3 linked regions of the Macaca mulatta genome follow. The protein of the gene in region 1 purifies or fractionates together with the protein of each later gene. This does not show direct contact. Links are inferred from orthologs where the notes say so. Each region holds a gene or a part of one and is shown on either strand. Other genes may lie near its edges.

Evidence for each region. The genes of interacting proteins can lie anywhere in the genome.
Region 2: the proteins of RNGTT (region 1) and PPP4R3A purify together in Homo sapiens (affinity purification with mass spectrometry; 3 studies listed by BioGRID and IntAct, with this or other methods). This does not show direct contact. The link is inferred for Macaca mulatta from reciprocal best matches to the Homo sapiens genes RNGTT and PPP4R3A.
Region 3: the proteins of RNGTT (region 1) and SUPT5H purify together in Homo sapiens (affinity purification with mass spectrometry; 3 studies listed by BioGRID and IntAct, with this or other methods). This does not show direct contact. The link is inferred for Macaca mulatta from reciprocal best matches to the Homo sapiens genes RNGTT and SUPT5H.

The regions. Positions count from the first base shown.
Region 1 is NC_133409.1:97,010,530-97,018,403, reverse strand, and holds the start of RNGTT (mRNA-capping enzyme), read right to left. Parts: upstream 4,307-7,874; 5' UTR 4,097-4,306; coding exon 4,033-4,096; intron 1-4,032.
Region 2 is NC_133412.1:164,757,146-164,764,818, reverse strand, and holds the start of PPP4R3A (serine/threonine-protein phosphatase 4 regulatory subunit 3A), read left to right. Parts: upstream 1-3,540; 5' UTR 3,541-4,024; exon of another isoform or gene 4,025-4,394; 5' UTR 4,395-4,451; coding exon 4,452-4,593; intron 4,594-7,673. UniProt on the Homo sapiens protein: Regulatory subunit of serine/threonine-protein phosphatase 4. May regulate the activity of PPP4C at centrosomal microtubule organizing centers.
Region 3 is NC_133424.1:50,545,172-50,552,826, forward strand, and holds the start of SUPT5H (transcription elongation factor SPT5), read left to right. Parts: upstream 1-3,522; 5' UTR 3,523-3,767; coding exon 3,768-3,842; intron 3,843-7,655. UniProt on the Homo sapiens protein: Component of the DRB sensitivity-inducing factor complex (DSIF complex), which regulates mRNA processing and transcription elongation by RNA polymerase II.

The DNA of each region.
Region 1 (7,874 bases):
AGTATCGCCTCCAACCTGCTTCTCTCTCCATAAGCCCTAATAATATCAAATATCTCACTGCATAAGCCAGACATTTCAGACTAAATTTTGACCCTCTTTCCCTCATTCTAAATACAACATTAAGTTCCATCCATTTTCCCTTCTTAATATCTCTCAAATTAGCCTTCTACGCTTCATGTCTCACTTCTAAACCATCACTACTGTCTTTCACCTGGGCTACAAGTTCCTAATCAGTCTATTTCCATTCCTCTCTCCATCAATTCATTAAACACAGAAAAGTCAAAGTAAGCTTTTAACCTGGATTCAAATAATCTCATCTTGATGCTGAAAAAAACTGCAATTGTATACCAGTGAAAATTTAAAGCATATGAATATTAAGATACCTTATCACACCCTACTTGCCTTATGATCAGGCTATTCTCCAACCTCATAACCTCACTTATATCTTCCAGAACAAAAACACTTTTTCAGTCTATTATCTCTCCCATCATCATCCTACATCATCCTATCCTAACAGAAACTTTCCAAAAACACCCCCTGCCAACTATTTATCTAGAAAACTTCTATTTACTCAAGATAATTCATGTACGACCTCCTCTGGGAAGTCTCACCTGATCTCCTTCCTTCCCATCTCTTCTTCCTCAACCTCAGGGAATTAGGTTTATTACCTCTGATTCCCATCGTATACTACAATAGTCTTTGCTACATTTTTTACAACAGAACTGTGCTTAAAATGGATGGTTTGCTACTCCCATGAGACTATGCTTTTTAAGGGTAATATATCTTAGCCATCTCCCTAGCACCCAGGACTAGCACAAAGTAGACATTTAAATATCTGCTAAATAAAATGACTTCAAAATCACCATCACTATCACCATCACACTATCCCCAGTACCTGGGACCACAAGTATGTGCCAATGCACCTGGCTGTGTCTCATATTTACATTCCCACAGTTCCTAGTAAGCTCTTTACATAGCAGGTATGAAATAATTTTATGTTGAATGATATACCTTTAAGAAACTAGGGAGGGCTGGGTGCGGTAGCTCATGCCTGTAATGCCAACACTTTGGGAGGCCGAGGCAGGTGGATCACCTGAGGTCAGCAGTTGGAGACCAGCGTGGCCAACATGGTGAAACCCCATCTCTACTAAAAATACAAAAATTAGCTGGGCACGGTGGTGCACAGCTGTAGTCCCAGCTACTCAGGAGACTGAGGCAGAAGAATAGCCTGAACCTGGGAGGAAAAGGTTGCAATGAACCAAGATCTCGCCACTGCACTCCAGCCTGGGTGACAGAGCAAGACCCTGTCTCAAAAAAAAAAGGAAAAAAAAGGAAAAAGGGAAAGAAATTATAAGTTTGTTTTCTTCCAAGTATTCACCTGAAATCTATTAACTCAGAAGGAGGAAAAAACAATTCTCCAGAAAATAAAGCTTGGCCCTGTCTCCAAGAGCTCTCTCTCATTGCAAGTCTGGTTTCATTAGAGAAGGTGACTTCACAGGAGAACATATTATATGTAGTTAGTACCATTTTCTTTCTGATTCAGGAAAATTATGAACTTCTAGTACTAGTAAAGTGAATCCTAATATTTGCAACATATAAGTTTGAACTGCCATAACATTTTCCTCAATATGCAAAATATCAAAGAAATTACTGTGATGGTTAATACTGAGTGTCAACTTGATTGAATTGAAGGATGCAAAGTATTGATTCTGGGTGTAGGGGGCGTTGCCAAAGGAGATTAACATTTGAGTCAGTGGGCTGGGAAAGGCAAACCCACCCTTAATCTGGGTGGGCACTATCTAATCAGCTGTCAGCACAGCTAGAATATAAAGCAGGCAGAAAAAAAATGTGAAAAGACTTGACTGGCCTAGCCTCCCAGCCTACATCTTTGTCCTGTACAGGATGCTTCCTGCCCTCAAACACTGGATTCCAAGTTCTTCAGTTTTGGGACTCAGACTGGCTCTCCTTGCTCCTCAGTTTGCTGACAACCTATTGTGGGACCTTGTGATTGTGTGAGTTAATAGTTAATAAACTCCCCTTTACGTGTGTGTGTATATATATATCCTATTAGTTCTGTCCCTGTAGAGAACCCTTACTAATAAATTACACGATTAAGTACAAATTACTTTTTTTTGAGATGGAGTTTCACTCTGTCACCCAGGCTGGAGTGCAGTGGTGCAGTCTCGGCTCACTGCAACCACCGCCTCCCGGGTTCAAGTGATTCCCCTGCCTCAGTCTCCCGAGTAGCTGGGATTACAGGCACACACCACCACGCCATCATAGCTTTTTGGCTATTCATATATCTTATTTTGTGAAGTGTCCAAATTTTTTGCGAGTTTTTAAGTCCTTTGAATTTATTCTGTATAATACATTGATGGTGGGGCTATCAAGTGTTACCGCTTTGGAAAACAGGTTGGCAGTTTCTTAAAATTCTTAAAACATACACCTATTATATGATGCAGCCATTCCTCTCCTAGAGATTTACACAAAAGGAATGAAAGTATATGTCCATACAATGACTTGTACATAAATGTTCACAGCAGGTTTATTTGTAATAGCTAAAAACTGGAAACAACCCAAATGACCATCAATAGATGAAGAGGTAAACAAATTGTGGTATACCCAGAACAATGGACTACTACACTGCAATAAAAAAGGAATAAACTATTGATACATGCATAATCTGGATGAGTATCAAAATAATTATGCTTAGTGAAAAAAGCCACACACACTTCCTTCCACCCCAAGCAGAGTACTCACTATATGTTTCCAATTATTTAAAAATTTCTAGAAAATGCAAACTATAATTACAGAAAGCAGATCAGCAGTTGCCAGGCAAAGAGATTTAAAAAGGGACAGGAGGAAACTTTGAGGGGTGATGGTTTCATGGTTGTTTCCTAGGAAAGAGATGTATTTGTGTATATATAGTCAAAATTTATCAAACTGTACACTTTAAAGCCTATTGTATTCAAGCTCAATAAAGATAAAAAAACTACAAGAAAAATGATTTAAAGAAACAAAAACCAGACCAAGCAGGGTGGCTCTCGCCTATAATCCCAACACTTTGGGAGGCCGAAGTGGGAGCATCGCTTGAGTCCACGAGTTCAAGAGCAGCCTCGGCAACATAGTGAAACTGTCTCCACAAGAAATAAACAAAAAAATTATGGCTGGGCGTGCTGGCTCACGGCTGTAATCCCAGCACTTTGGGAAGCCGAGGCGGGCGGATCACTTGAGGACAGGAGTTGGAGACCGGCCTGGCCAACATGGTGAAACCCCGTCTCTACTAAAAACACAAAAATTAGCCAGGTGTTGTGGCACGCACCTGTAATCCCACCTACTTGGAAGGCTAAGGCAGGGAGCCGAGATCACGCCACTGCATTCCAGCCCGGGCGGCAGAGAGAGACTATGTCTCAAATATATATATTATAAATGTGTATATATATATTAAATAAACAAAAAAAGTAGCCGGGTGCGATGGCAGGAGCCTGTAGTCCCGGCTACTTGGGAGGCTGAGGTGGGAGGATCGCCAGCCTCAGCGAGAGACCCTGTTTCACAAAAAAAAATAAAAACAAAAAACTAACAAAAACACCCTCCAGATTCCCAGTCTCAATGTGACCCCATTTCACCGCTGGGAACCGCCCCTTCCCTCCTTATCCTCCTCCATCTCAAGACTGACACTCATCCCTTCTAATTCGAGGGGAAGGTTGAACCCTAAAAGGTTCACAAACTACTAAGACTCAAAGTACGCCCACTGTATTCCTGGATCCTCACCTCCTGCCACCAACCTACTGTCTACCTTCACATTCGCACAGTTAGCCTGGCAGGAATAGTGACAAGTGCCCCCCATCCGCCGACCATCCCCTCCCGTTCATGTTCCCAAACATTCGTCCACGAAGCGTAATCAGATGGAGCATATCCCACTCCTGAAATACCACTAACGGGCACAGAACCACCAAAAGCTGAGCTCCTCAGTCGGCCCACCCCCGGGCACGCTGGAGTGTGGGGATTCGAATACCCCCCAGTCCAGGTTACCTGCCACCGGCTGGCCGCGCCGGGGACAGTTCAGCCACCGCGGCGGGATCTTGTTGTGAGCCATGTCTTGGGGGCTGCGCAGAGCTGCCCTCCCTCACCAACGTTCGCCGCGCCTTTGCAGCCGCCTCCCCGTGGTCCGGTGCGCACCGGGGTCCGAGACACCCGAATCGCAGCAGTAATCCGAATTCCAGCCGCTCAAATCCGGGTAACGTCAGGGGCAGCGCGCCACTTTCATTCAGGATCAACTCCACCGCTCCAGGCGAACCCACAATGCACTGCAACTTCCGCCCCCGAAGGCCCCGCCCCCTTCTTTCCGAGGTCAGAGGGAAAGAAGAGGAAGCTCTGCGGAAGGATAGCAAAGAGTTAAGGCGGCGACGAATGGGAGGAGCGGTCCGTCTCTCGCCCCGCTCGGCCCCGCCCCTCCCGGTCGCGGTCCCCGGACGCGCACTTGCGCTCCTGGTTTGCCTTTGCATATGTGCAATTGCGTTTGTACCGAACTCCGCAGGACGAAGCGTGTATTTTTTTCCAATCTAGACAACCTAGAGAAACCCAAAAAAGAGGGAAGCCAAGCCCCTTTCCATGCGTTGATTGCCCGTCACTTCCATTAAGGCATCTGTTTTACTGATGAAGGAGGCCTTCTGAGCGTTACCACAGCGCAAGCTTGGCGTCCCAGCTGGATCTAGGTTTGATTTGGTATTAGGGAAAGTTGTTCAAGGGAATAAGTCTTAGGAGAATTCTAAGGGCGTGAGATTGGAGTACCAGAAATGGGGAATTTTTCTTACGGTGAGTACTTACGAGGATCTATGAAGCGTCTGAAATTAATTCCAGAACACTTAGAGTTTTGTTTGTACATTTCTTTATCAAAGTTTCAAAGCATACTGGGGAGTTTGAGAAGGTCCATGTCTCCAAAAAAGTTACTAAATAATGTGTATAATTGACAAAGGCAGGAGTTGCTCAGTGGAGAACCGTTTCGTGGCGGTGTTCTCCTCTGCCTACCAAATAAACAGTCCCTTTTATTTTCCCTTCGAGTTAAGCAGAGGTGCTTGGAAGCATTTTATGAATGCCGTCCTTTAACGAGCCTTTCCTTTGTTACCAGATTAAATTAGTGTTAAATATAAAGCTGGATGATGGCAAATCAATTATAAAGTAGTTTGGCTTTAAACACCAATGCTGTATTGGAACTGCAAGAGCATAAGGCTGCAGGGAATACATTTTTAAAGCTTCGATGGGGAACTTTCTGGGAAACTCAACCCCTTGAATGCCTGGACCCCCTCAGTAAGAGTCCCATCAGTAGAGACAGTCTGACAGCCATCTCTCTGAGGCAGCCTGAGTTAGGTCACACTTCTGGTCTGTCCTGCTGTTGCGTCTGCTCAGAACTGTTAGTGAAAGTGTCAACTCCTCCCCTGACAGAACAAGATAATACCCAGTTTGTTTTAAGGCCATCAGTCTACCCAAATAATCTCCTATTAATTCCCTTTTCTGCTGATAGAGTGTGTACCATGCCCAAAATGGTAAAAAAATAAAACCTTCCATCCCCAGCCCCCTTCAAGGATGGGAAAGGTGAGCCTGATCCTGGAAGAGTATCTTACCTTCCCCTTCTGGGGATGACTCCCCTTGGAGACTCCCCTTCCCACACACACTGTATCTACCCAGTAGCTCAGTTCTAGGCACACAGAGGCTTCATACCACTGGTGAGCAACTATTATTGGCTGTAAGGCAGCAATGTGCACTGGATTTTTACTCAGCTATCCAGTTATGCCCTCTCCATACTCAGTGCCACAGAATTGGGAGGACCCTGGGGCTACCTTTTGCCCACAATAGAGAGTAGAATAAGAGAGTGGCATCCCGATGAGTAGGCAGTTTCTCTCTGCCTGTCAGGAATGACTTGCCTGATGTGTGTTTCTGCCATATTGCTCCTAGGCCCAAGTCTCTTTCTTCTCTGTGAGAAGAAAAATAGACACAGATGGACCAACGTGATTCCTCCCCCGCTTCCTGGAACCCCTGACTCACACTCTCAGATATGTCTTCGTCTCCTCTTTATCAGATGTAGATTCTCGTCGTTGGTGAATCTTTCATCAAACATCCATTTTGCCCCTAAGGAAGAGTGTATACATGTAAAAAATAAGATTGAACGTTCTCTTTTGGCAAAAGAGAGAGATCTTATCTGTCTTCCCTTTTCCTAAGACATTTCCTTGAGAAACACTTGTATTTATTAATCCTTCCTCTTCACTTTGCTATGTAGATAAATCTTTTGTTTTTGCAGACAGGGTCTCACTGTCTCACCCAGGCTGGAGTGCAGTGGGCATGATCCGGGCAGCTTCACTGCAGCCTCAACCCCTCAAGCTCAAGCAGTCCTCTCGCCTCAGCCCCCAAGGAGCTGGGACTACAGGTGCAGGCCACCACACCCCACTAACTTTTTTATACTTTTTTCATCTCAAATTCCTGGGCTCAAGCAGTCCTCCAACGTCAGCCTGCCAAAGTGCTGGTAAGACAGCCAGGTGGGAAGGGTTCCCTGGCAGAATCTCCTACTGACCTGTGCACTGGGAGGAATGCACACTGGGGTGAACCTTGGGAAATTTGTGCCATTCGCAGTGGGGAGGAACCTGGCCCCTCGTTTTCCTGGTGGAACCTGGGATTCAGTCTCCCAGGCAGGAAGCACTCTGGCTTTGGGGAGAGTCTCTGTTTCCCTTTTTTTCTTTTTGCCCAATAAATTCCATTCTCACCCTTCAAGGCATCTGCAAGCCTAGTATTTCATGGCCGTGTTGCAAGGACCCAGCTCTTAGCTGAACTAAGGAGAAAGTCCTACAACAGCTTTGGCACCCAATGTGGGACTTGAGAAGTGGTGAGTGACATGGGGACTCAAAACTTCTCTGTCATTTCTAAGCCTTTTCATGCATGGACTTCTGAGGGTAGGGAAACCGTGCCCCCACCCCCAACCCTCCCCGGGGTCAAGGGCCTTTCCGTGGCCTTTGCCTTCATTTTTTGGGAAGGACAGGCAAGCCGTGGCTCCAAGCTCCTTCTCTCCTCCCAGCTGGGGCTGGAGAATGCCACATGTCCACAGCATCTTCCCCTTTCCTGGCCAAGGCTGACAGTAATTAAGCTTCTCTCCCTGGTAGAGGAACCATTTGCATAAGAATAAGAGGTTCTTCCCCCAGGCATCCTTTTTTCTTCACCCCATCAGCAGTTAACTTTTTTTTTTTTTTTCTTTTTTTGAGACGGAGTCTCACTCTGTGGCCCAGGCTGGAGTGCAGTGGCCAGATCTCAGCTCACTGCAAGCTCCACCTCCCGGGTTCACGCCATTCTGCCTCAGCCTCCCGAGTAGCTGGGACTACAGGCGCCCGCCACCTCGCCTGGCTAGTTGTTTTTTTTTTTTTGTATTTTTTAGTAGAGACAGGGTTTCACCGTGTTAGCCAGGATGGTCTCGATCTCTTGACCTCGTGATCCGCCCATCTCGGCCTCCCAAAGTACTGGGATTACAGGCTTGAGCCACCGCGCCCGGCCATCAGTTAACTTTTAAACCAGATTTTTTTTCTTTTTCATTAGGCTAGGAATGATAAGGATCCCTGTTTATATTCTCTGTAAAGTTTGGTTGTGAAAAATGATCTTGTTGGGACTGGTTTTCTTCTGCCTGTGTAGCTACATATGTGTTGTATACATGATGTCTATAAAAAGAGCTCAAAGGCCTGCCACGGTGGCTCACACCTGTAATCCTGGCACATTGGAAATAAAGTCTAGGGAACTCCAGATCACTGACAGTAGGTGGGATAGAAACATTGGTAAAATCAGATAATTCCTATCTTCTAGGCCCTCCCTGCTTCATGGGTGCAAGCCGCTTTGGCACC
Region 2 (7,673 bases), on another chromosome or scaffold:
GCCTACCCAGACTGCATTATCATGTAAACAAATGTCTTGAGATAACTCACTCCATCTTTGTGTAGATGTATTCTACTGGTTGTTTCTCTGGTAGAATCCAGACTGATAGAACTGTTAAGATTGTATTGTATTAAATTTCATTTAAATCTAATATTTTATGGTATGTTCCATAAACTATAATTTTTAACCTTATTCCATTTATTACTTTTTCATTTACTTTATTATTTTCTAGAAAGTATTTCATGTTTGGTTTGGGGATCAAATAAGTATTAGCATACGAATAAATTTACCAATGTCATAATTGCATCAAAAATTGACAAAATTGCTCTCATGCCCTAATACTTGAAATCGTTGGCCAGGCGTGGTGGCTCACACCTGTAATCCCAGCACTTTGGGAAGCTGAGGCGGATGGATTACTTGAGGTCAGGAGTTGAGACCAGCCTGGCCAACATGGTGAAACCCTGCCTCCACGCCGGGCGTCGTGGCAGGCGCCTGTAATCCCAGCTACTTGGGAGGCTGAGGCAGTAGAATTACTTGAACCCGGGAGGCGGAAGTTGCAGTGAGCCAAGATCATGCCACTGCACTCCAGCCTGGGCGACAGAGGGAGATTCTATCTCAAAATAAATAAATAAATAAATAAAAATTGTTGCCTTTTTTTTTTTTTTTTTAAAGAAAAAGCGATTGCTTTATTGCTTTGTTTTCATAATTTTCCAGTTTTGTTTGTGAACAGCGAGTTTCCGACTGGTCTTTCAAGCACTCGTTTATACCTTTTTTTTTTTTTTTTTTTTTTTTTGAGACGGAGTCTGGCTGTGTCTCCCAGGCTGGAGTGCAGTGGCGTGATCTCGGCTCACTGCAAGCTCCGCCTCCCGGGTTCACGCCATTCTCCCGCCTCAGCCTCCCAAGTAGCTGAGACTACAGTAGGCGCCCGCCACCACTCCCGGCTTGTTTTTTGTATTTTTAGTAGAGACGGGGTTTCACCATGTTAGCCAGGATGGTCTCGATCTCCTGACCTCGTGATCCACCCGCCTCGGCCTCCCAAAGTGCTGGGATTACAGGCTTGAGCCACCGCGCCCGGCCTTTTTTTTTTTTTTTTTTTTTTTTTTGAGACAGAGTTTTACTCTTGTTGCCCAGGCTGGAGTGCAATGGCGTGATCTTGGCTCACCACAACCTCTGCCTCCCGGGTTCAAGCAATTCTCCTGCCTCAACCTCCTGAGTAGCTGGCATTACAGGCTCGTGCCACTGCGCCCTGCTAATTTTTGTATGTTTAATAGAGACGGGGTTTTCACCATGTTGGCCAGGCTGGTCTCGAACTCCTGACCTCGTGATCCGTCAGCCTCGGATTCCCAAAGTGCTGGGATTACAACTGTGAGTCACCACGCCCTGTTTATATCTTTATATTTTAAGTTGCTGGGGAGGAAGGTCCCAACTTCTAAAGGAATTTAAAACTGAAAGTCCTGTATCCTAGAAACCCCTCAGCCCTGTTCATGCTATTAGCTTCCTTCCTAATAGATGGGTATAGTAACACCAATACTTTACAGGTTTCTTTTTTTCTTTTCTTTTTTTTTAAAGACAGAGTCTTGCTCTGACACCCAGGCTAGAGTGCAGTGGCACAATCTCGGCTCACTGCACTCTCCGCCTCCCCAGGTTCAGGCGATTCTTGTACCTCAGAGTCAAGGAGCTGGGACCATGCCTGGCTAATTTTTGTATTTTTAGTAGAAACAGGGTTTTGCTATGTTGGCCAGGCTGATCTCGAACTCCTGGCCTCAAGCAATCTGCCTGCCCTGGCCTCCCAAGGTGCTGGGATTACAGGTGGGAGCCACCGCGCCCAGCCACATTGCAGGTTTAAAAGATTCCTGGCAATGTCAAGCACTCGAATCTTCCAAAACTGTAGCCACTAGACACATGTGGCTACCGGGCCTTCAAATTTTGACTAGTGCTACTCACAAGCTGAATTTTTTTACTTGATTTTTAAATTTAAATTATTATTTTATTTTTTGAGACAGAGTCTTGCTCTGTTGCCCAGGCTGGAGTGCAGTGGCACAATCTCAGCTTACTGCAACCTCTGCCTCCCGGGTTCAAGAGATCCTCCTGCCTCAGCGTCCCAAGTAGCTGGGACTACAGGCACGCACCACCATGACCGGCTAATTAGTATTTTTTTGTACAGATGGGGTTTCACTATGTCAGCCAGGCTGGTCTTGAACTCCTGACCTCGTGAGCGACCGCGCCCAGCTAAATTTAAAAATTGACACTTGATTCAGCTTTTGGAAAAGTTAAGTATGATTGGAATAACAGAATATGTGAATCTACATTCTCAACTGTAAATTTAATATACTCTACCAGTCCGGGCAACAGTGAAACCCGTCTCTACCGAAAAAAAAAAATAAACTTAATTAATTAACTGGGAGTGGTGGTATACACCTGTGGTCCCAGCTACTTGGGAAGCTGAGGTGGGAGAATCGCTTGAGCCCACGAGGTTGAAGCGGCAATGAGCCGAGACTGAGCCACTGCACTCCAGGGTGGGTGACAAGAGAGAGATCCTGTCTCAAAAACAATTTTTTTTCCAATAAAATCTAAACACAGATATTTCTGATGAAAATTCAGTATCCCAACAGAGACTTGCTGGAAGGACAAAATATATCACATTTTAAAGACATCGTAAGGTTAATAAGGAACGTATATCTTTAATAATTTGATTACTGAAATAACATTTTGAAAATACCGCACTGAAACGTTAACACTAATTTCATCAGTTTCTTCGTGCTTTTTGTGGCTACCGCAAAGTTTAAAGTTATGTGTGTGGCTCGCATTATATTCCTAGCGGACAAGCCCGACCTACCAGGCCTAGCAAATGGTAAAAGCCACCAAAATAGTGGCACATGAGCTGCATGATAGGAAACAGAATGTTATTCCTCTGTGAAGATTAGCAATACTTGACATCAAGTAGCTCTTCAAAGCACAGGACTACCTAATGCTGAGAATTACTCCTCCCGATTTTGCAGTGTCGCATTTGTTTTTGTGAGCGCCTTAAGTTCCTTTCCGACAAGGCTCGCAGACAGTTCTGATGGGGATGAAGGAATGGAGCACTTGGGACTTGCCTAGGCTGTAAGGTGAAGTTTTAGAATTGTCACTTCGGACTCGGTCCCACGCCCAGAAAACGCAAACAGTCCCAAGTTTCCACACTGGCCACGCCAGTCCGCGACCCATGGCGGCTCCCAAGGCTGCGCCAACCTAGCCGCCCACACCCGCGACCTTCCCCGGAAGCGTTTCCATTTCATTCCTTCAAGTCCGCAAGGGGCCGGGTGGGTCCCGAGCGCCCGACTCAGCCGCAAAGGCGGCCCCGGGAAAACGCTCTCGGAAGCGGGTAGGGGCCCGGGCCCACGCCGCCCGGCGTCCGCAGGCCAGGGACAGGGGAAGGAACAAGAGAAGGCGGCGGCAGGCGGACCCGAGGCCGAGACGCCGGGGCCCGCTCGCAGAGGCCGCAGACGGATCCACGCCCCTCGCGCATCCTGGAGCGGGGCTGATGACGAACACAGAGCGCGACGGACGCACACACCGCCCCGCGCTCGCACGACGGTGCGTGCAGGGAGGCGCGAGGGAGCCTCGGGCTGTCACCGGCGCAGTCAGCGTCCCGCCTCCTCCGCTCCCTGCGCTCCCGCCACCTCGGCAACTCCGCGCCCGCCTCCCGCCTCCGTCGGAAGCCTCCGCCGCAGTAAGGCTCCCGGTCTCGCTGCTGTCTCTTTAAATGGTGGGGCTCCGAGCCGCCCCTGCAGCTGCTCCCTGGGTGGCCCCGCGCGCCGCTTTTGAGGGGCGAACCAAGATGGCGGCGGTTTTGGCTGTGTGAGGAAGACGGAAGAGGCGGCGGCGGAGGGAAACCGACTTCCACTAGCCCGGGGCGGTCGGGCGGCCGGGGGCTTCAGAGTCTCCCAGGCAGTGGTAGCATTTGCAGAAGGATCAGGCGCCTGTCGGCTTCTGACGTTTGAAGCAGGGAGCGGAAGGGAGCCACTGGCCGCGGTGGCAGGGCCAGGTATAAGGAAGGAAAATATGGCGGCGGCGGCAGCGGCCTGAGGAGGCGGCGGCGGCGCGGGAAGCTGCTTCGCGGAGATCATGGCGGAGGCGGGAGCAGGGCAGTGACGGGAGCCCCGAGTTCCTAGCGCTGCGGGGCGGGAGGCTACGAAGCGCTGCGCGGCCCCCTCGGGGCTGCCGGGCGCCGGGCTCGCCGGGCCTGGACAATAGCGCCGGGGAGCCGGAGGCGAGGAAAGGCGGCGGCCCAGAACTCGGTCCCGGGAGCGGGCCATGCAGGCGGCGGCGCGGCCCCGCGGCGCCCAGCGGCGGCAGTGAGGCCGGGGAGCCCTCCGCTCGCGGGCGCCCTCACGCCTCGCCCCTCGCCTCTCCAGGACCCCTTTCCTGGGCGTCTACTGGCGGGGCCCCCGCCCCGGTTCCCGGGCGGCACGATGACCGACACCCGGCGGCGGGTGAAGGTGTACACGCTCAACGAGGACCGGCAGTGGGACGACCGGGGCACCGGGCATGTGTCGTCTGGCTACGTGGAGCGGCTGAAGGGCATGTCCCTGCTTGTCAGGGCTGAGAGCGACGGTAAGTGAAGCCCCTCGTGGCGGGCCCTTCGCAGCCCCCACGGCCCTGGGCCGCCTCCCTGGTTCTTGCGGGGCATGGCGCTCGCTCCACGAGAACGGAGGGACGGCTGGCCACGGCAGCCACCCCGGGGGAGGGCGGGCCCCAGGTACCCCAGTCCTGCGGGAGCTCCCCGGAGAGCGCCTGAAATGTTTCCTTTCTCTGAGTGCCTGGTGGCATTTTGGGTACGAAGAGAGCCAAGCGTGTTGAGCTGTGCCGCCCTGGAGTGTGTGAGGTCGAGGACCTGAGATGGGGAGTCCGGAGTGTACTGTTCTTTTGCACTAGAGTGACCTTGAGAAAGACACTGATTAATCCGATCTTCTGCCTTAGTTCACCCATCTGTAAAGCAGGCATGAAACTTTGCTTGGAGCTAAGAAAGTTCTTGGACCTTTCATACTTTGAAGAACATTTTGCTGTGATTTCTTTCTTTTTCTTTTTAAACGTCTTTTTGCTACATGTTTCTGATCCCGTTGGAGGTTGGCAACACTGGATCTGGCAACTCTACGCTAAGAGAAAACGCTTTACCTTGAGAAGATAGAGATTTTTGTTCACCAGTGTTGGTTGTCTTTTTTATAGTAATGCAGAATTTTGTGTGTAGCTCGCTATATAAACATCTTGCAAGTTTGGAATAATTTTATATGAGCTTTTTTTTTTTGATTGCTTAAATGGGTGTTCATAATTTCGTTAACAGGTGCAGAGAAGTTGGCAGATAATTTTTAAAACCTTTCGGATCTTCCCTAGTGTTTATGCTTCACACATTTTGAAACAACCCTCAAGGTTCAAAGACTAAGTTGTTTGAAAATAAGTGTTTCCCTTTTTTTCTTTTTTCCACATCTTCTGAGTGTTTCATATTTTAGAAGACTTATTCTCTCTAGGGATTGCCACTGTTTTTGGAGATATACAGTGAATTTCACTTAAAATATTCAAGTGGGGTAAAACTGTTGTCAAATTGTTACTTCCAAACGTGAAAGTAAGTTCTCTTCCACCTCTTTTGGTACATTGGTTTATATTTTACAGTTGCTAACGAGGTCAGTTTATTATGATTGTAGTGATTCTGTGTCTGAATTATTACAGACTAATTTCAAGGAATTTTCTTCAGTTGGACTCTACCCAGAATTCCAATTCCATAAAAAACCAACAAGACTAGCCCTTCTGTAGTTGAAGACTTTGGGAACATTGATGTTCTATTTAAATTGAAAGTGGTAATCTGGAGTATATTGCCCACAGGTTATAAGGTTACCCGAAATGACTTAAATCTGGAGAGAAATTATTTCCTTTTGGGGGCATTTAAAATTTTTTGAATGTTGGGTGTATTTTTCTGGGCCTGAGTTATTATTGGCTACTTAAAATACAATTTGAATGTCAAGTGTTAGTGTAATTTTGTATGTGACTCACGTAATAACCTACTCTAGATCTTTCACACATTTGGCAAACTTTACATAGTATGTTAGAAGGTATGGGCTTTTAGTAGATTTATCTGTAGGTTTCTTCTTAATTTTTTACTTTCAAAAAAATAAAAATAAAGACAGGATTTTGTCCTATTGCCAAGGCTGATCTGGAACGCCTGACCTCACGCAATCCACCCACCTAGTCCTCCCGGAGTGTTAGGACTACGGGCGTGAGCCACCATCCCAGCTGAAAGCATGTGTAGATTTGAGATCAATTCTTTGAACTCCATGTTAAAAATAATACATATAACCTTCACATCATGGGTTTAATTTGATTCATTATACAAAAAATCCTTTAAGATATTTTTAAGCATAAAAGGTTAATGTCATACTATCAGAAATATGCTCTTCTGCATAATTCTATGTTAATATAATTGTATGTTAATATAAAACTTTTTTCTGTGTGTGTATATATAATATAATACATAGTACATGTAGTATATGGCACATATATAGTATATATTATGTAGTACATATAGCGTATGGTACTTATATAGTATATATAATATGTAGTACATACAGTATATAGTACATATATAGTATATATAATATATACATATACATATATATATTTTTTTTTTTTGAGATGGAGTTTCGCTCTTGTCGCCCAGGCTGGAGTGTAATGGCATGATCTCGGCTCACTGCAACCTCCACTTCCTGGGTTCAGGCAATTCTCCTACCTTAGCTCCTTAGTATCTGGGACTACAGGCATGTGCCACTATGCCTGGCTAATTTTTTTGTATTTTTAGTAGAGATGGGGTTTCACCGTTTTGGCCAGTCTGATCTCGAACTCCTTACCTCGGGTGATCTGCCCACCTCGGCCTCCCAAAGTGCTAGGATTACAGGCGTGAGCCACTGTGCCCAACCTCCATTTATATTTTTACCGTTTTGGAAATAGCCACAAATCTCTCTTCCTCCATTTCGCAGGTTGGAGGTTAAATGACTACAACAAAATGACTTTAGTCTTTATCTAGCAGGGAGATAGCTTAACTCAATTACTGATGTGCCTTGTAAGTTTAGGCTGTAAGGAAAACTGAATCCAAAAAGGCTGGGTGCGGTGGCTCACGCCTACAATCCCAGCACTTTGGGAGGCCGAGGCAGACAGATTTCGTGGGCTCGGGAGTTCGAGACCAGCCTGGGCAACATGACAAAACCCCATCTCTACAAAATGTACAAACGTTAGCTTGTGCGGTGGCAGGGTCCTGTAATCCTAGCTGCTCTGGAGGCTGATGTGAGAGGATCACTTGAGCCCAGGAGGTGGAGGCTGCAGTGAGTTATGATCATGCCCCTGCACTGGGTGACAGAGGGAGACCCTGTCATACACACACACGCACACACACACGCACCCTGGACTTAGAAAAAATTCCAGGATACTTGTGAGATATTGTCAGTAATTAGTTTGATGATTAACATTTCTTCCAACATCTAAGTAGGGATAAGTCAAAATTTACTGAGTACCTTCTGTGTGCCAAACTCTAAGCAATTTACTTACATTGACTTACATAATTCTCACAACAGTGCTCTGATTTAGTTAGTGCTGTTAGCCCTATTAAACCCCCATGTTACTGTCTACTTGCATTTGCTGCTCTATTAGCC
Region 3 (7,655 bases), on another chromosome or scaffold:
CAGGCGCCCGCCAACACGCCCGGCTAATTTCTTGTATTTTTAGTAGAGACGGGGTTTCACCGTATTAACCAGGATGGTCTCTATCTCCTGACCTCGTGATCCGCCCGCCTCGGCCCCCCAAAGTGCTGGGATTACAGGCGTGAGCCACCACACCCGGCCACACCAAGCTAATATTAAACTCCTGGGCTCAAGTGATCCTCCCCCCTCAGCCTCCCAAAGTGCTGGCATTATAGGCATGAGCCACCACACCTGACCTTTTTTTGTTTTTTTGTTTTTTTTTGAGACAGAGTCTCCTCTGTTACCCGGACTGGAGTGCACTGGCTAGCGGACTGGATGGCCACATTTCCATCACCCCAAAGCATTCCTTATCTCCCTTCCCAGTCAATTTCCATCTCCCTCTCCAGCCCCAGACATCCACTAATCTGCATTGTCTGCATTGGTTTTGCTTGCTCTGGAGTTTCATATGAATGGAATCATGCTGGATATCTCCTTTCACTCAGCTTCTTTTTAGTAGAGATGGGGTTTCACCGTGTTGGCCAGGCTGGTCTCGAACTCCTGACTTTGTGATCCACCCGCCTTGGCCTCTCAAAGTGCTGGGATTACTGGCGTGAGCCACCGCTCCCGGCCTTAATTTTTGTATGTTTCCAGTTTAGGGCAACTCTTTCTTTCTAAAATCTTCTGAAGTATTGTGATGTGCTACCAGAGTTGAGTTCAGAACTGTGGAGCCACCAAGGAAGAAACTTCCATAGGGGGGAAATGACTGTACCCTCTCTTTTCTGCAGGGAATGCCTTTCTGCAGCAGTGTCAGCAGTGATTTTATTGTAGAATCCTATTTTCTTTTCTTCTTTTTTTTTTTTTTTGAGACGGAGTCTCGCTCTGTCGCCCAGGCTGGAGTGCAGTGGCCGCATCTCAGCTCACTGCAAGCTCCGCCTCCCGGGTCTACGCCATTCTCCTGCCTCAGCCTCCCGAGTAGCTGGGACTACAGGCGGCCGCCACCTCACCCGGCTAGTTTTTTTTTTGTATTTTTTAGTAGAGACGGGGTTTCACCGTATTAGCCAGGTTGGTCTCGATCTCCTGACCTTGTGATCCGCCCGTCTCGGCCTCCCAAAGTGCTGGGATTACAGGCTTGAGCCACCGCGCCCAGCCTTTTTTTTTTTTTATTTTTTTGAGATGGAGTCTTGCTCTGTTGCCCAGGCTGGAGCCATCTTTGTTCACGGCAACCTCCACCTACCGGGTTCAAGAGATTCTCCTGCCTCAGCCTCCTGAGTAGCTGGGATTACAGGTGTGTGCCACCACACCACCTGGCTACTATTTGTATTTTTTTAGTAGAGACAGGGTTTTACCATGTTGGCCAGGCTGGTCTTGAACTCCTGACCTCAGGTGATCGGCCTGCCTTGGTCTCCCAAAGTGCTGGGATTACAGGCGTGAGCCACCGGGCCTGGCCGAGAATCCTATTTTCAAGAACTGCTATTTAAAAGAACCAAGCTTAAGGAAGAGGAAACACCTTTCTATAGAGTGCTCAGCCCCTCCCCAATCTATCTGGTACTCAATTTGGTTTTGCTGGATTGGGGTGTGTGTGCTTTTGGGGAGAAACACGCACCTGCAGGTATATTCACTGCCTGCTTCCATCATAACTGCACCCCAATCCCCAGTAACTAAGTAGGTATATATTAAGCTTAGGTAAATTGAATCCAGGTGTGTCATACTTATGTGAGAAATTTTACCAGTATGTCCTGAGGCTTCTATTTTTTTTTTTTTTTTTTTGAGACAGAGTCTTGCTTTGTCACCCAGGCTGGAGTGCAGTGGCACAGTCTCAGCTCACTATAACCTCCACCTCCCTGGTTCAAGCAATTCCCCTGCCTCAGCCTCCTGAGTAGTTAGAATTACAGGCGCATGCCACCACGCACGGCTTTTTTGTATTTTTAGTAGAGACGGAGTTTCACCATGTTGGCCGGACTGGTTTTGAACTCTTGACCTCAGGCAATCCGCCCGCCTCGGCCTCCCAACATGCTGAGATTACAGGCATGAGCCACCGCGCCCGACATAGGCTTCTGATTTTTAAAATTTCCTCTATCAGGTTAATTTTTTAATATTTGTTTTAATTTTTTTTTTTTTTTTTTTTTTTTTTTAAGAGACAGGGTCTCTATCACCCAGTCTGGAGTGCAGTGGTGCAGTCATAGCTCACTGAAGGCTCAACCTGGGTTCAAGTGATCCTCCTACCTTAGCCTTTGGAGTAGCAGGGACCACAGGTACAAGCCACCACACCACATTAAAAAAAAAACCCACACAAAAATTGGATACATGGGGTCTCAATTTGTTGCCCAGGCTGGTCTCAAATTCCTGGCTTCACGTGATCCTCCCGCCTCAGCCTCCCAAAGCGCTGGGATTACAGGGGAAGGTTCATTTTTCATCTCTCCATTACACCTGTCCACTCTGCCACCACTCGTCAGCTGTTATTACTAATAGATAAATTAGGCTTTAAATGAACTTAGGAAGCCTGGAAAGAGAAATAGGGACTTAGGCCGGGCGCGGCAGGTCACGCCTGTGATCTCAGCACTTTGGAAGGACTTGGCCAGAGGATAGCTTTTGAGTTTGAGTTTGAGGAGTTTGAGATCAGGCCGGGCAACAGCCCGACTCCACAAAAAAAAAAAAAAAAGAAAAGAAAAGAAAAACAAGGGCTTTCACGGTCAGTCAGACTTGGCGAGGACGCTTGGGTCTGACGCTTTCCACCGAGTTTATTTTTCTGAGCTTCAGCGTTCTCTCCAACATGGGGATACGTATCTCCTGGGGATGCTTTAGAGGGCCTAGGAGATTAAGCCTGGTTTCTTTTTTTTTTTTTGTTGAGAGAGAGTCTCGCTTTGTCGCCCAGGCTGGAGTGCAGTGGCCGGATCTCAGCTCACTGCAAGCTCCGCCTCCCGGGTTCACGCCATTCTCCCGCCTCAGCCTCCCGAGTAGCTGGGACTACAGGCGCCCGCCACCTCGCCCGGCTAGGTTTTTGTATTTTTTAGTAGAGACGGGGTTTCACCGTGTTAGCCAGGATGGTCTCGATCTCCTGACCTTGTGATCCGCCCGTCTCGGCCTCCCAAAGTGCTGGGATTACAGGCTTGAGCCACCGCGCCCGGCCCAAGCCTGGTTTCTTTAATAGTTTGCTATTCGCTGATTCCCGGCCTCCTCGCGGCTTGGCCTACCGCGCTCGTGTTCTGGACTAACGAACAAACGGCTCACTCAATTCAAACACGAGTCCCAGCCTGGAAAAGGCCGAGTCGGCGGTTAAAAAAAAAACCTTTCCCCTCCCGACCCTCCGCAGATGTCGCCCCCTCACTCCGCCTAGGCTAGCCCTGCCTCTCTCAAGATGGCGACCTGGAAGTGCGTCGCCTGGGCCAGCCCCGGAAATCTCGTGTTAGGCGAGGCCAACGGATAGGTTCTCGCGAGAGGACCCGTCAGCCCCAGCCGGGCGTCGTGCGAACAGCAGCTGGTACCAAAGGCGGAGGTGGAGCCCGAGCGGTAAGTGCGTGTGCAGAGGTGGCAGTTCCGGGGGCCGCCGGAGGCCGAGGAGGTGTAGAGAACAGATTTGGAAACTGGGGAGGTCTAGCATGTGGCGTAGGAGGGGGTCCGCACTCCAGTTCGCAATTGCCAAAACAAGCCTGCCGGAAGCGCGCTAAGGGGTTTTCTTCTCACAGGGAACCAGCGGGGAAACTGAGGCTTGGGGTGGCGAGCAGGACTGTGGGACGCGCTGAGGCTGCTGTCTTTCCCAGCAGCAGCGGAAGATGTCGGACAGCGAGGACAGCAACTTTTCCGAGGAGGAGGACAGCGAGCGCAGCAGTGACGGCGAGGAGGCCGAGGTCTGTGGCTGGGGCGCCGGGGGAGACATTGCACCTGGGGGCAGGACTCCGGGTAGAAAGCCCACTGTGGGAGGCTCGAGGGGTTCACAGCGGACTCTGGCTTCTGGGAACTCCCAGATTATCGCAAGAGATAGAGAATTAGGCAAGTCGAAGACAAGTAAGGGGACAGGTTCTGGAGGCGAGAAATGTGTTAGGTCCAGTGAGATAACAGGTGATGTTTTTGAAGTTTACTCTGTGTGCATATAGTAAGCACTCAGCATTAGTTGTTTTTTTTTTTTGGTTACGTCTAGTCATTCCAGAAATTTATTTGTAGTGCCCACTACGTACCAGGTGCAATTCTTTGTCTTTGGGGTACACCAGTAAACAAAGCAGATTTTAAAAATGTCTGCCTTCGGGAATGTAAATAAATATAGCCAAGGAATGGACTATATAGTAAGCTAGAAGGTACTCTGGAGAAAAGGAGAACAGAAAAGGGGAATGGAGAGTCCTGGTTGCACTTGCAATAGGGTCATCAGCGTGACTTGTTGGAGGTGAGGGAGTGAGTCGTGGTTAGCTGGAAGTGGAGTATTCCAGTGAGGGGGACCAGCAGGTACAAAGATGGAAGTGTGTCTGCCGTGTTCAAGGATTAACGAGGATTTGAGAGGCCAAGCTGGGAGGTTCACTTGAGCCCAGAAGTTCGAGGGCAATCTCGGCAACATAGTGGGGCCCTGTCTCTACAAAAATATAAAAAAATTAGCTGAGGCCGGTCTTGGTGGCTCACACCTGTAATCTCAGCACTTTGGGAGACCAAGGCAGTGGATCACATGAGGTCAGGAGTTCAAGACCAGTCTGGCCAACATGGTGAAACCCTGTCTCTACTAAAAATACAAAAAAATTAGCTGGGTTTGGTGCCGCCCACCTGTAATCCCAGCTGCTCAGGAGGCTGAGGCTGAGAATCGCTTGAACCAGGGAGATGGAGATTGTGGTGAGCTGAGATCGCGCCACTGCACTGCTGCCTGGGCGACAGAGCAAGACTCTGTCTTACAAAAATATTAGCTGAGCTTGGTGGCACGCTCCTGTAGTCCCAGTTACTTGGGAGGCCGAGGTGGGAAGATCACTTGAGCCATAAGGTGAAGGTGCAGTGAGCTGTGATGGTACCACTGCACTGCAGCCTGAGTGACAGAGTGAGACTTTGTCTCCCCACCACTGCCTAAAAAAAGGGGGTCCAGTTTGGTTGGATCAGAGTGAGTGCAACGAAGAATTTATGGGAGCCAGGTCATATAGGATCTTGAAAGCTGTGGTAAGGAATTTGGTTTTAACTGAGTAAAATGAAACCTCGAAAAAGTGTGAGCAAGTGAAGATATGATCTAATGTTTTGAAAGGATCACTCTGGCTTTGGGTCTCTTGAGTACCTCTGTTCCGGGAACCAAAAAACCAACATTTCCTGGGGCATTTCTGATTTCAAATGTTCTTTTATTTGCCATTATTCTTTTTTTTTTTTTTTTGAGACAGCATCTCCATAGGTTGGCACAGGCTGGAGTGCATTGTCATGATCTCGGCCCACTGCAACCTCAGCCTCCCGAGTAGCTGGGATTACAGGCATCCACCACCACATCAGGCTAATTTTTGTATTTTTAGTAGAAATGAGGTTTCCCCATGTTGGCCAGGCTGGTTTTGAACTCCTGACCTCAGGTGATCCACCCTCCTTGGCCTCCCAGAGTGCTAGATTACAGGCGTGAGCCACTGCACCAAGCCCAGTATCCTCCTTTTAAACTTATTTTAGTTTTATTCGTTCGTTGAACAAATCAGTATTTCCATCTACTACTGTGTTCCACTTACTTCCCAGGTGTCTGGTAGGAAATCTTTACTTTTTTGGAGTTGACATTTAGTAGGCAGCAATCATAAACTAGTAAATAGGTGACAGGGTGATTATAGATCTCTTGTTTGATGCACAGAAACTTCAATTGGCTTTTTAAATAAGTTGCCAATGCTTGTGAGGGAGATTTATCATAAAGATTAAGATTTCTTGCTTTTTCTGGGAAAGTGGAAGGAGCTGGCACGCTGGGACCCAGGGTTGTTCTGCAGAGCAGCCGTTTGCTTGATGAGTGGCTGTCCTACTTACAGCTGGGAATTTTCTCCAGTTCCCAGGATATGTTAGTTGCCATTTATCATCTTGCTTGTCTCGTGGCAGAGTGAAGAAAAGGAAGAGATTTCACGTGGCTGTGTTCTGGAAATTGTTTGGTAGATGGAGAGTGCCATGTGTTTTGGGTGATTTGTCCCACTCATTTATGTTGCCTGCTTATCCTATGTGGACATTTGATTGCCAGTCTTTGTTGTGCCCTTTGGGGAGGTGCCTGGTAGTGAATAGTTGGAGAAATTGGGATGCTGTGGTGGGGGAGGGATGAGTGGGGGAGTGACAGGGAGGGCCTTTTCTCTAAGCTGTAGCACTGGATTCTTGGTCTCTGATTCATGGCTTGGAGACACTGCTTGTTGGTTAAAGTCTGGTGGAAATGAGACCAAGATCCCCAGTTCCATTTCCTGTCTGGGACATTCTCGTTTGCGCTGTACTAGTCTAATTTCCCCAGCACTACACCATACTTGACTCCTCCCTGCTGGCTCCTCTTCAGTTACCAGGTGAGGCAGGAGGGCAGTGTGAGGCCTGTCCCCACCACCAGGAACAGGATTGGATGACCTTTTCAGACAGCCAAATGGTGACATAGTCCTTGCAGGACAGGGTTCTGTGGCTAGACAGGTAGGGATGGATGGCAAATAATGAGCTACTTTTGAAGGGAGCTGCTGGTTCACCCATCACAGCTACAGTAACTTGTTCATTTATTTCAACAAATGTTCCTTGACTTGTCATGTTGGGGTCATAGCCTCCCTTACGGAGATCTCAGTCTCAGGGCAGAGAGAGTTTTATAGATACACAGTTACTGCAGGGGATGTTGAGGACAGTAAGAGCACATCCAAGCCCTGAGGTGATGCAGAGAGTGGCGGGGACTCTCTCCACTGGGAGGGAGGAGCCAGGTTTGTAAAGAGGCTTCTCTGGGACCTGGCAGAGGGGGACTGATGACAAGGTTCCTAGAAATCAGCCTGTGGTCCTGTCATAGTTTGGGTTGTTAAAACGCGCTTCATTGTGGGCTAGTCAAGATTATGTGTTAAGCAAATATTTCTGAAGTCTTCTGTGCTTGGCCCTGGGCTGGGTGATGTTGGGGGACCCAGCGGTGCCTGAGATGAACTGGACCCTACTATTGGGAGGCTCACGGTGGTCAGGGCTGTGATGGAGGGAGCACAGAGAATTGTGAGCGTAGAGGATGTGCCTGACTCTGCTCGGGGGAGAGGGGGCGGGGGTGGCTGCCTGCAGGAGGAAGGTTGGTTTTTTTTTTTTTTTTTGAGATGATGTCTTGCTCTGTCACCCAGGCTGGAGTGCAGTGGCGTGATCTCGGCTCACTGCAGCCTCTACCTCATGGTTAAGCAATTCTCCTCTCTCAGCTTCCTGAGTAGCTGGGATTACAGGGGTATGCCACCACACCTGGCTAATTTTTATATTTTTGGTAGAGATGGAGTTTCACCATGTTGGCCAAGCTGGTCTTGGAACTCCTGACCTCAAGTGATTGCCTGCCTCAGCTTCCCAAAGTGCTGGGATTATAGGCATGAGCCATCTTGCTCAGCCCTTTTTTTTTTTTTTTTTTTTTGGGACAGGGTCTCACTTTGCACCCATGCTGGGGTGCAGTGGTATGGTCTCGACTCACTGCAACCTCAACCTCCTGAGGAACAAGCAATCCTCCTACTTCAGCCTCCCAATGAGCTGGGACAACAAGAATCTGCCACCAT